2 linked regions of the Mytilus edulis genome follow. The protein of the gene in region 2 purifies or fractionates together with the protein of the main gene of each other region. This does not show direct contact. Links are inferred from orthologs where the notes say so. Each region holds a gene or a part of one and is shown on either strand. Other genes may lie near its edges.

Region 1 (7,000 bases), on a different chromosome or scaffold from region 2:
CACAAGCTACGAGATATATAAAAAAATCTAAAATATGATTTTTTTGGTTCACTCATTAATGAAAGAGAAAAAGTGAAATAATAGTTCGCTTTCAGTAACCACTAACTTTGTTAAAATAAGCTCCGAAACATTGATAATGAGTTATTTACTTGCAAATGAATAATTCGACCTCATTGAATCCGTCTCCATGTGAACTTCAATTAAGTTATTTAAGGGAAAAGAATGTAAACATTGAAGTGAAAAAAAGCCATAAATCAATTGATTGACTGATTCGATCCACAAAAAAAATCATTCTTATACAGGTAAAAACGATGAGTAGCATATATTTTAATCAATAATATCAAATTACACAGACTTATAAAAATCAATCAAAGTTACACGAGTTCTTAATCTATTTATATCTATATGTATGTGTACATAGCTTATATGACCATCGGAGGTCTTCGGATGTCAACTCGATAGTCTTAAATTAGATGGTGTCTAAACTAAAATGCACACGAAACAAAGATACATATGTGGAGCCAAAGCCCTGTAAATTGTTTATTTTAGACTTTTTTATAATTTGGATAAATGTTTTACATTGTTATTAATTAAATATAAGGAGTCGAATCTGTGAACATAAATTTGACAGCTAGTGCCATTCTAAAAAACATATATAAAAGACATATCCATTGATAAGTAAATAATTTTAACTGCAATAGAAAAAAACACAAAAAAATATTATACCAGGCCTATAAAAAATTTTATAAAATTATTTATGGGTAGAAATTCAAGAGGCTGTGAATATTAAATTTCTCTATCTTTGTTAAAAGCCGATTAATTCCGACTACGTTTTTTCCATTTCTATGTTCAATCATGTAAAGCACATTTATTTCAAACCATATAATCTAAAGTAAATTTTCTGGGAAAATATCAAAATTTTTGACAGAGTTGTGTTTTTTTCGAAAATGTTTGGTTAAAAGTGGAAAAAAACGTAACCGGTAATTTGCAATCTCCCATACAGACAGAGTTATCGTCCTTTCCTCTCCATTGAGAAGGGACGACCCATACAGACAGAGTTATCGTCCTTTCCTCCTCATTGAGGAGGAAAGGACGATAACTCTGTATACTCTGTCTGTATGGGAGATTGAGGAAAAATAATTAGTAATAAAATTAAATGTGTCCCTTGAGAACTTTCTTAATTAAGAGAAACCAATACTAGGCGACAATTAACATTATAAATTAACAAGTAGTTATAAAATAATTACTAGACAACTCTGGAAATACTAAAAAAAATTGTGTTCTCCCTGCAAACACATGAAAAAAGAATGAAATGTGTTCCTTAGAAACATGAACAATTTCTAATATAAGCCCATACCAGGAGGGGGGGAAATTGACAACAAGTAGTAAATTTTTTTTAGACAAACCTGGAAACATAACAAAATGTTGCCCCTGAAAACATAACAAAATGTTGCCCCTGGAACCACACAAAAATGTTTCCACTGGAAACACAAAAAAATGACAATAAGTACAATTATATACATATTTTTTTTTAACACTCAGTCTGTTAAAAAAAAGAAGAAAGTTTATTTAAATGCAATCCGTAAAAAATTTAATAGACTTTAAAGCTACTAAAAGAGGGAGATCCATGTGTACCCCGACATGTATATATTACAACTAAAATGATTTCACAGTTCTTCATTTTCTGTTTGCTTTTGTATCAGTTTTTGTCAACACATAATAGCGCTTGGAATGAAGTGTAAACAGTTGGCGACATAGCGGTACCAAGTGATTAGCGACTCTATCTTCAACATCCTTGCACATCTTCTTCGGTAGGTAATGATAAGGGTTAATAATTAATGTTATTAAGTCAATAGGAGTTTGCAGGCTCTCTCTTGCTATGGCCAGACTACCTTCGTGTAGAATTTTGACGATAAGGGATGACCTTATTTGTGACGTTGTTTCACACAATAAGATAAAATTTTCAATGGTTTCGTCAGCTTTATTACAGAGTCTACACATCGGATTTGTTGCATAATTTGAATACTCCGCTTTATTAGATTGTAGTATGTAGGTTCCTGTAACTAATTTAGTGCAGATGGACAGTTTCTTGATCTCCGTTATATTTGCACTTGTTGTTTTAAGTAAAGGATGAATTCTGCCAATATCATATTCACATTTAAGATATCTTAGAGTTGAGTACCCCTTCATTCTGGTCTTTATGGCACCCTCCCAGTACTTGTGAATCTTTTTGGTTATAAACCTCTTCCATTCCATTTTTGTTAATGGCTTATCAAGATACTGTTCTATCTCTATGATGTCATATTTGCCACATATCTTTTTCAGATCAATAAACCAGCTATTGCTTGAGTAGGTTTTAATTTGTAGTTGTCGTTCAGCTATTCTCCATTCTAAGGACGATCTTTGAGATCTGGTTATATTCCCATATAGTGTGACAATTTTAATATGGATCTGCTTCAAGTGGGAGCAAGCCTGATAGTATATAGATAGACAGTCGGGTCAGCCACATTTAGTTTGAGAGATAAAATCTGTTTAATCCACCTTTTATGTTGCTGTTGTATAAGATCTAAATTTTTGCCTGTTGGTATTAAAACTTCTAGACCATAGGTCAAAACTGGTAAGATGTAAGTTCTAAATAAGGAGACTATTGTTTCAGGGTCTAATCAATTTTCCCCATGTAATCCAGCACCCATAAGACTGTACATAGATCTTCTGGCCTTTTTTATATTTTCAGTGATGGTTGTATTAGTAGAGTCTTTTTGAGATTTTTTTATACCAATATGAGAGGAGTCTTGAACAATGGGCATATCTATATTTTTAAGTTTCCAAAAACCTTGTTCAACATCTAGCATTTTATTACATGTTTTGATTGGTTAGACTACACTTTTTTGAGGCTGTAGTAGATATCCCTCTCTTTGGCTGAAATCAACTGCTAAATTTATCATATTTTGGAGTTCAAAGGGATTAATTTGCTGGATATCAAGGCAATATCGTCAGCACAAGTTGGCGCACAACAGTTCATATTCCCAATTTTAGCTCCCAATCCAGAATTGCTCAGAATATGCAGTAGGGGGTTGATACACCCTGTCTTACACCTTGCTCAATATTAAACAATCGATTTGACATTGTATTGCCCAATTTTACACAGGAAGTTGCATTTTCATATAAATTGCTGATCAGTAAAATAGATTGCTGTGAGAATCCAATTTGAAAAAGACGTCGTATCAGGTTTTTATGAATTACAACATCAAAAGCAGATTTTCCATCCAGTAATGCAACATAGGTTGGTAACTTGAGATCTTTATTTTCTCTTTCGAATTTCTCAATGAATAGTTCACAAAGCAATGGAGTGGATTTTGCTGTGAAACCTTTTTGCAGTGGGTTTTGATGTTTCAAAATCTTATTATTTTCCCTTCCTTTAATTATAATTTCTATGATCTTCGAGTAGGTTGGTGTTATAGTGATCCCACGGTAATTTTTAGCATTCTTTATGTCACCTTTGTTTTTGAAAACAGGAAAAAGAGTTCCAATTTTAAGTAAATTTGGTATGTAACAGTGTTCAAAACTTGTGTTAATTAAAAGTTGAAGATATTCTAAAAGTGTTTCGCTGGCATGAATGAAATTTTCAGCTGTGATTCCATTGGATACCGGTGTTTTAAAAATTACTTTGTTTCCCGGGGAAATTGTTTCTCAGGGAAATAAATTGACGAGAACTTTAGTCAGCTGCGATTGGCAGGGAAAGGACGATAACTCTGTCTGTATGGGAGATTGGGTAATTTGACCGGCTTCCAGACCACTTTCTGATATAAGCACATTTCAAAATCAAAATAGTTCAATACAATTCACAAGCTTTCATAATTCGTTTTAATTTTTTATTTTTTGAACAACCGTTACTTAGAAATTACTTAAAATATATGTCAATTTTACATTTTCTTTTTTTAAGACCTTCCCGGGATTGTATACATATTTTTGACGATAACTATGCAAACGATGCATCTGAATACCGAATATGAGATCATCTGGTGTTCTGAAGATACTTGCTTTCCTTATTACATGTGTTATAATTATTATTTGCTACCAAATTCTTTTGACAACATCTTTTTTTAATCACATTGACTCAAAAATACCACAAGCAGACCCTGTGCCTTTAGGGAAAGGAGTGGGCAATGTGAAAGTTATTTTGGAAAACGAACCGCAGGTCACTGCTAAGGCCCAGAAAAATGAACCAGTACATGAAATTAACGTTGTAATTACATTTACAAATGCCAAAGACAACACAAATCTACAACAAAAGTTCCAAACAACTGTTTTGTCAATGTTTAAATGGACAACTACGCCTGTCAACATTTACATAATTGGTGACCAAGCTAGTCAGGTCATCGCAGATGCAATCTTAAAACAAGCTGTCAGTAAATACAATAAACAATACAAGGTAATATTATAATCAATAAGCATATTTATTTTAATTATGCATACAGTTGAACAACACAATAGACCTTATTGCTATTTGGAAACCTGCATTGGTTGACCCAAGGATTTGTATAGTATACTATAGAATTATAGAATAGAATAGAATATTTTTATTTCCCTAATTACAGGGCCCATAAAGGGCATAAAATCAGATACAATTAATTTATATAATTGACACCAACAACAATAATAGTTTGCATATACATATATATTTGGAATATAAGCATTGGTCAGAATGAAGCTAAAAACCACATATATATTGTGAATAAAAGAATGATAAAATTACATTATATACATGTATATATATATGTATTTTTTCTCAAATTATTTACTTGACTTAGTGTCAGTGTTCATTCCTGATCTCCTTAATTCAAAACAGTCAAAAATATAACAGCCAAGTTTTTCAAGAGTAACATTTTCTTGGGTCAAGAGCCATAAAAATTTAGAAGATTTATTTAAATTTATAAAGTTATAACAATTGTTAGAAATGTCTTGAAAAAAATTGTCCCTTTGAATATCATAAAGAGGGCTTTCTAATAAAAAATTAAGCTCATCTTCAACTTTACCAAGGGAGCAATTAGAACATAGACGCTCAAATCTTTCTATATGTTTTTTTTAATATCTGTCTGTCTCAATTTTTATGGAGTGAGCGCTTATTCTTAATTTACAAATTGACTGTCTTTTTTTGAAGTCCTGTAATTCTAAATATTTTTCCTTTTTAAAACAATTTTTTATAGAAAAATAAGTACCAAGCTTCCCTTTTTCGGAGTCAATTGTTTGATACTTCAGTTTATTCCAAAATATTAAATAACTTTTACATAGTTTTACTATAGATACAAATCCTTGGTTGACCCAAGTCAAGAATCTGCTCCTCTTTAGAAGGGGGTTGGAGGGGTCCTGATCCTGAAATCCTGAGGTCCCAAACATTAAAAAAAATAAATCCCTACATCCTGCATCTGTGTACAGACTCAATGAACAGTTTGGAAATTATTAAGGCCTGCATGCTGGCATCCACTAAATAAAAGTTAAAATTATTTTGCATATATACTACATGTATATGATATACATGTAAGAAAGATGTAAGATAAAGTAAGATACAATTCACTTTGAGGTGTGCAAAGATGAACTTTGATTTCAAAATTGCTTCCCTGATTTTCAAAGATACTTCACTTCCAAAAGTATGAATTATCAAACACGTTAAAATTTGGTAAACCCAAATTGTGAAATAATATAAATCAAACCTTTCGGGTCCATCAATTTTTATGTCCAATTATTATAATACCAGTACACAAAAATGCAAGCTGATCTCAAGCTGTTTCACTCAAACATTCATATTTTTAGGTTAAAAAAAAATAAAAAATTGAGAAATGTTTGTTTTCCACTTTTATACATGGTATTTTATTAAAAGTGCATCCAGTATATATTGACCTGGATCAGCTTAGAGCCAGATCAACTTGGGTCGGGATTAATTTGTTGATGGAAAAGCCTGATCACAATGCATATACCCATCGTGGCTTGTCAAGCATAAACCTTACCTGTTGACAAGTCCCACACATGTGATTCTTCTTGGGGGAGTCAAAATCTCCCAATTTTGTCCCTCCTGTTAATAATTTAAATCTTCTTTTTTTTTCGAAAATTAGATTCAAAAATCTTTTCAGTGAACTTTTCAATGTTATACAATTGATGTCATTCCCTAATTGACCTTTGTGTCATTCAAATCAAAGTGATTATTACAAGCAAATTCAGTGGAAAACTCACTGGGTTCAATTGACATCTTTGGTGTGAAACAACCCGTTAATTAACGTCTATTATCTCAGCCATATAGGTCATAAATAAATCTGTGTTTTTCAAACTGTAGGGAATTAATTTTGGAGTTATTCCCCCTGTTTTAGCTTTTTGCTTATATATGTGCTGGTAAAATATTATCTATTACTGAAAATAAGAATGCAATACAAATTGAACTCAAAGCTATATTAGAATGATACCATAAGGGCTAAAACTTTCTTTGAACATGCCAAAAAAAGTATATTGCATATTATTTTTGATTATCCCTTGTCAATGTTGTCCCTATGCCCTCTTTTTTGAAGCTTTGGAAATTATGCCCCTTATAGTTCTTGTATTCAATATCTCCAGATATTGTTGGGAGCCTCACAATATTTTTCAAATTCAAAATCGTTCATTGAAAAATGTCTCTTAACAAGTAGGTAAAATCTCTAACTTTTGTGAAAACAAGATATCTGTAGCCTTATTATGAAAAGTCAGTCAACCAAAAGTCAGATCTAAAGCTGCAGATGAAAGGATAAAAAAAATCTGATCAACTTAAATTTTCATGAAATTTGGGCATTTATTTTCAGTGGCGGATGCAGGAATTTTCGAAAGGGGGGGTGCTAGCCCAGGGCAAAGGGGGGGTGCAAAGTTGCAAAACATATGTCCCGATTCAAATGCATTGATCGGCCAAAATAAAGGGGGGGTGCGCACCCCCGGAACCCCCCCCCCCTGGATCCGCCACTGATTTTAAAGTCATTTGAAA
Region 2 (7,134 bases):
ATTTCCGAATTGTACACAAGAAACTTAAATTAAAAAAATACAAGACTAACAAAGGCCAGAGGCTCCTGACTTGGGACAGGCGCAAAAATGCGGCGGGGTTAAACATGTTTATGAGATCTCAACCCTCCCCCTATACCTCTAGCCAATGTAGAAAAGTAAATGCATAACAATACGCACATTTAAAATTCAATTCAAGAGAAGTCCGAGTCTGATGTCAGAAGATGTAACCAAAGAAAATAAACAAAATGACAATAATACATAAATAACAACAGACTACTAGCAGTTAACTGACATGCCAGCTCCAGACTTCAATTAAACTGATTGAAAGATTATGATTTCATCATATGAATATCAGGCACAATCCTTCCCGATAGGGGTTTAGTATCATACCATCACTAACATATATGAGAAGAACATAACTCGTGTCATGCCAACAACTGTTTTTTTAATAAATGTGTTTAGTTCCGATGCAAAGACCCTATAAGTGAATCAATATTAACGCCAAAATAAGCAATCTTTAGTGACCTGACAACAGTATCGTAACTATATCCCTTCTTGATAAGTCTATTTAAAGGTTTTGTTAGTTTCTGAGGTGAATACTGACATTTTTGTGCTTTATAAAGAATATTTCCATAAAAAATTGGATGTGACTACCTGAACGTATAAGAAGTCTGCATGTTGAGCTATATTTACGAATGATGTCCTTATACCGATGATAAAATTTAGTAAATGTTTTGACTAGTTTGTGATATCGAAAACCCTGGTGTAATAATTTTTCAGTAATACATAAATTTCTCTCGTTAGAATCTAAAACATTGTTACATACACGAGCGAATCGTACAAGTTGAGATATATAAACACCGTAAGATGGTGACAATGGAACGTCACCATCTAAAAATGGATAATTAACTATAGGAAATGAAAAATCATCTCTTTTATCATAAATTTTCTCAGTATAAAATTATATATAGAAAGAGACCAAAGGATTTGTAAGAAATCTACTCTACTGAAATCTGGTTTAAGATGAACAACATTTTATAACTAGTTGTCCAGCATACACATATACAAAAAAGATAGGGAGATTTTCAAGGAGATAAACTGTATCTGTCCTAATTTTATATATCTTTCAAATGAGCAAAATTTGTTTGGTTACTTACTAATAATTATATTAGATGTATGTTTCATTGTAATACTTTATTCTGATAGGCTAACTGCACATCACATGTTATTCCTTAAACAATTGCATCACTAAATAAAACTTTTCATTCATGATAACACGTGGTCCCACAATAAAGTGCAGAGGTGAATTAAAATAAAAATATATATAAAATTCGTGTTTTTATGATCATAGCTAAAAAAAATGTAATTATAAGTATTGAATGCTTCTTTTTGTAACTTCATAGGGTTGTAAAAGCATTGACCGTGCGCACATTTTTAGAATGAAGCGCTGCTTCATACAAAATGTACTTCGGTCAACGCTTTTACACCCCAATGAAGTTACAAAAAGAATCATTCAACATGTTCAATTCTTAAATGAAAATTTGTCTGTGCTTAAATATTTAGAGAGCTATATTATTACATGTCTAGATGTTAGACGAAATGTTAATTAATGTATGTAAAAACAATGATAATTGTAATGATTTTATGGTTCTGATCCTGCCTTGAATCAAATGTATGTGATTTTTATAGAATGAAGATAATAACATCTGTCTGAACTATTTTTTAATGTTTCATTTTAGTATATAAAAATGTTTTTCTGTTACAAATCATGATGTATTGTTTTATGTGTACATGTTATGCTGCCAATCAAGGGCCATTGATTGGAATAATAAATAAATTTATTCTTATTCTTATATTTGTCTCTGCTTTAATATATAAATTTAACAGTTTTTGAATTGTATGTTACGATTGATACCAGAATAAATTAAGAATTTGTCTACGTAACCAAAAGGCTAGTATTATGAATAACGGTAAACCTAAATGGAAATTGAGGCTTATAATGTTATTTCTGAAGTGTTTAATAGTCGTCCTTGACATGCATGACATGTTTGCCACCGAACGCCAAACTAACAAGATTAAACTACAAAATGATCAATTTAAAAAAAATGATAATAACACCTCGAATAACACCGATAACCTTTTGAACTCTGTCTGAACTAGTTCTAAATCGCTTTTTACGTTAATTTTGAACAGGCGCCGCGGCTATGTAATATTGTTTGCATAAAAAATTACAACAATGTACACGCTATCCATGTAATTTAATACTTGCTGCATTTCATCACACGATTTTTATGGTTGTAATTTTTGTAGTCATGCTCGCTGAGCATGCATGAATAACCATTTCAGGCCTATACACTTAGATCTACTGTTTCAATTAATTAGAATCTGATTCTTATAAAAATCGTATTTTCGCAGGATTTGACCGGGAATTGTATAAGTTTTTGACAGGTAGTTTAAAGGTCAATATATAGACTGGTGTGGAAATCTCGTGATCAGGGTCAGAGACATATGGTAACATATTGTATGTCTATGTGCAGGTGGAAGAAAGGTCCGCTTATGTAGGACTTAAGGTATCGTGCAAATAGTGCCCCCTATGCGTAGTAATAATATGATCTAAAAATAAAATAAACTAAAAATACATTATTCTACTTTCTAATTACACTGATACTTGGAAACATAAAAGAAATAATCCTAACGTATATAAGTCACATAATTATAAACTAATTTCTTCAATCTAAATGTAGGAATTCGTTAACATGATGGAAATTGAGTAGTTTATGTCATGTATTTGGTAAGTGACCTCAGGTACCCTTGTCATGAAAGACTGATTTATAAAAAATACGCATTTAAAAAAACTAGTATATCTATAATGCGGTGACAAGAAGAAGAAGAAGAAGAAGAAGAAGATGATGAAGAAGAAGAAGAAGAAGAAGAAGAAGAAGAAGAAGAAGAAGAAGAAGAAGAAGAAGAAGAAGAAGAAGAAGAAGAGAAGAAGAAGAAGAAGAAGAAGAAGAAGAAGAAGAAGAAGAAGAAGAAGAAGAAGAAGAAGAACAACATGATGGACATCGCATACTGTCATGTGATACATTTCATAATGTGAACTGAGTTAACTTGAGTTAAATGGTTAAATATGTTGGTGGTTTTTTTTTTGTGGTGACCTAAGGTACCCCTGTCATGAAAGTATGCCCACGAAGTCCTACGTTTAAAATAAAGATTTTTTTGAAATTAATCTATCACAGAATAATCATATGAAATTATCTTTAACACATTTAAATTATGACATAAACTGTATATTTATGCAATATAAAAAGATGTGGTATAATTGTCAATGAGACAACTATCCACAAAAGACCAAAATGACACAGACATTAACAACTATAGGTCACCGTACGGCCTTCAACAATGAGCAAAGCCCATGCCGCATAGTCAGCTATAATAGGCCCCGATAATACAATGTAAAACAATTCAAACGAGAAAACAAACGGCCTTATTTATATAAAAAATGAGCGAAAAACAAATATGTAACACATAAACAAACGAAAACCACTGGATTACAATATGCAATGTTCATCATGTCCATGAAGTCCTCCAGTTAGAATGAAGAAATTAGTTTACTACAACATAATATATACCATAGTATAGTATGTACTTTTCTTAAATTACGGAGGTTACCTGAGTTCTGCCAAAAAACACCATAAAATACAACCAATTCCTCTCCAATAAACTCAGTTTACCATACAAAAAAATACATAACACGAACAATACAACGACCACGAAGTCCTACATTTAAAACGAAGAAATAAGTTTATTACAGCATAATTATATAACCAAGAATTGTATTTATTTCTTTTGAATTAAGTCACATTTAAATTGGTATTAAGATTGATCCAAATAGGGAACTATATTTTCGTGTAAATCAATCGATGACAAATCCCCCGATACCCGAGGGCACCTGATACCTTAGGTCCTACCTCAGCGGACCTATCTTCCACCTGCCGTCTATGTCTATGTTCTATGTCAGGGTCAAGGTCTATATGAACTAGTATTGTCTATTAATAGCTATATATATATATATATATATATAAGCTATGTCAATCTCCAAGTAACCGATCGTGCAAGGGTTGCATGCTAGTTCATCGTCATCTCAAACTAAAACTGCTATGACATATGACATATAATATGTTATAGTAGTTTCAGTCGCCAAGGGAGATAAAGTGTATGTTATCTCTTAACACCATTTAATAGGTTAAACTCTTGAGGTTAAACTAGGACATGTGCTCACCGGTGGTCAATAGTTTGAATATGCCGACAGTCTCACACTTGGACTTAATGCTATAGAACGTGATTATTGTTTTGTGAGGGAAGTGAACATTTTGTGTAGTGGTGACTTCTCCAAATTTGTATTTCAAACATTTTCTATATTGATATCAAGAATTATTTAATGCGTGCGACACGTTCACAATTTACAGTAAGCCTTATCTTTTGAATAGTTGTCTCCCCTGTACATCTTCTTTGATAGAAAGATACTAAAATTTATCAATAATTTGCAAAAGTCAGCTGTTTTACATTGTATTTCGTTAATCTGTGCGTTATTGGTAGCTGAGATTAAATATTTTTTTAACAGAAATTACACGGCAGTGAGGCAATGGACACGTTTTCTTCATTGAATTTCAACACATAATTGCTGTTCCGGCGTAGCAACCCACGAAAATTTTGCACACTGAACGTTTGAAAATGTAAAAGGCCGGGTGCATATTTTAAAATTTATTCATCATGAAAGGTGTTTTTGTGCAAAATAGGAATTGAAGAATTGGAACATCCTGGTTTGATTTTAAGCTCTGGAAATTTTTGAATTCGAAACCATTCGGTAAGTTATCCAAATTTAATGTCTTTATCTTCAAACTTGTCTAAATTATGCATTGCGGTTTTGGTTTTGAGGCTGCTCTCGTCTACAGTCGAGAATGTATATATTTTGAAATGAATTTAGGGAACTATTTTTCTCAGCAAATCTTGAACAAATAGATATAGGAAGATGTGGTGTGAGTGCCAATGAGACAACTCTCCATCCAAATAACAATCTAAAAAATTAAACCATTACAGGTCAACAGTCAGTGTATGGCCTTCAACACGGAGCCTTGGCTCACACGAACAACAAGCTATAATGGGCCCCAAAATTACTAGTGCAAAACCATTCAAACGGGAAAACCAACGGTCTAATATAGTCTATATTGGATGAGACCTGTATTTTACTGTTCATCTGTTATAACTTATAGGTTCCTAAGATGAAGGACAATGATCATGAAAAGTTGTTGAAAGTAGACAAAAATTATGTTGTGTAATTTTTGTTTGTCTCTAAAATGTATATTTATTACTTTTGTAGAGTCTTCACGTGTAATTCTGTCTGAGGTTATGTGTTATAACATGTAATTTAAGTTTTGCAGAAATGTCTTGGTCATTACCAGATCAATACTCTTTATACTGTGATTGAAAAGTATTTGAGTACATGTCATGTATGTTGCATCTTGCATACATTCTATATTGTTGTCAGCTTGCAGGGTAAAATATTTATAACAATACAGGAATAATTATCATGAATTTTGCATTTTATGTTTTCACAATGATCCATATTCTTCCTACATTTTTTGTACTTTTGTGTTTAATTGTTTAAAATGCGTATTGCTACATGTTCATTATCTGGTTACAATACATGGCATATATATATATATGATATTTGGAGTACATGGAGTACAATAGTGACCTATAGTTGTTAATTATATAATGTCTGTGTCAGTTTGGTCTCTTAGCTTGTGGACAGTTGTTTCATTGGCAATCATACCATACATGTATCTTCTTTTTTATTTTGTAAGGGCTGTATAGCCAGTCATGGTTGTTAAAAGCTTACATCATAGTAGGTCATGTAGGTACATGCTTGGCAGGTGTACCTTTAAAAACATATTTGCACACAGAACCCTGTTAAAATGGGAAAGGCTGGGTGCAAACATTTTGTATTTCAACATAGAACCCTAAATATCTGTGAGAGGCTGGGTGCATAATTAACCTAATTTTTTAGATCTTTTTTTTTAAACTTTAATACATTTTTGACTTATCAATTGTACAAAAATATGATATACATATATATGTACATGTAATTTTTTTTATAATCGTGTATAAAATGTATAATGAATAGCAACACTATGCTAATCAAAATTGTCCTTAGCCATAGGAAATTTCTGTTCTAGATTATGTACATGTAGCTAGACTATCCAAATAATGTAAATTGCCTTGATGCAAAATCTGTACATGCTGTAAGTCTAGGAAAAAAGAAGTATAGTATTGAAAGTTGATTAACTGTTCTTAATACTGAGATGTAATTAAAAATGATATAAGTTAAAATTGACATACACATAACATAGTTTTGAAAGAAAATACTATATGTACAATTGTAAAAGAGGCACGAAAGATATCAGAGGGACATTCAAGAATCTTTGAATATTTATCATGATTATGATTCTGGTTAAAATGTGCCATCATCACCATATTATACATTCAAATGACATGATAAAAATAAACATGATAAATCTTATGTCACAGAAGAACAATTTTTAAGCATTTTTGTTAAACTTTTAAATTGAAGATTTATTTTATTTACAAGGTTTTTTATTCAGAAATATATCTTTAGCTATAGCATTATATATACTATATCCAACAGTTTTCTATGGGAACTTTTTATACTGTCATTTGAATGTATAATATGGTGATGATGGCACATTTTAACCAGAATCATAAACATGATCAATATTCAAAGATTCTTGAATGTCCCTCTGATATCATGGATATGATACCAGGATAAACTTCCATAATAGTGTTGATTGATTGGTTGTTGGTGGCCACTTTCAGCATGTTCATGTACTAGCATGACTATTGGCTACATATGTGTTTGTCAGCATGGTCAGTTTGTGTTGGTGGATGAATCTGCAACGCCCACAGAGAACCACTGATTATGCTACTGCAGAAAAACTTCCATATCAATTCATCTATTTTTACATCATACATGTACATGTATGATGAAATGATTTTCCTCAAATATATTTTCAATTATTTAATGCACCCGCCATAAACAATGGGGTCATTAAG

The links. The genes of interacting proteins can lie anywhere in the genome.
Region 1: the proteins of proton-coupled zinc antiporter SLC30A1-like (region 2) and xyloside xylosyltransferase 1-like purify together in Homo sapiens (co-immunoprecipitation; 3 studies listed by BioGRID and IntAct, with this or other methods). This does not show direct contact. The link is inferred for Mytilus edulis from reciprocal best matches to the Homo sapiens genes SLC30A1 and XXYLT1.

What each region holds. Positions count from the first base shown.
Region 1 is NC_092356.1:48,352,113-48,359,112, reverse strand, and holds the start of xyloside xylosyltransferase 1-like, read left to right. Parts: upstream 1-3,983; 5' UTR 3,984-4,009; coding exon 4,010-4,432; intron 4,433-7,000. UniProt on the Homo sapiens protein: Alpha-1,3-xylosyltransferase, which elongates the O-linked xylose-glucose disaccharide attached to EGF-like repeats in the extracellular domain of target proteins by catalyzing the addition of the second xylose.
Region 2 is NC_092350.1:45,663,283-45,670,416, reverse strand, and holds the start of proton-coupled zinc antiporter SLC30A1-like, read left to right. Parts: upstream 1-4,101; 5' UTR 4,102-4,220; intron 4,221-4,269; 5' UTR 4,270-4,867; intron 4,868-7,134. UniProt on the Homo sapiens protein: Zinc ion:proton antiporter that could function at the plasma membrane mediating zinc efflux from cells against its electrochemical gradient protecting them from intracellular zinc accumulation and toxicity.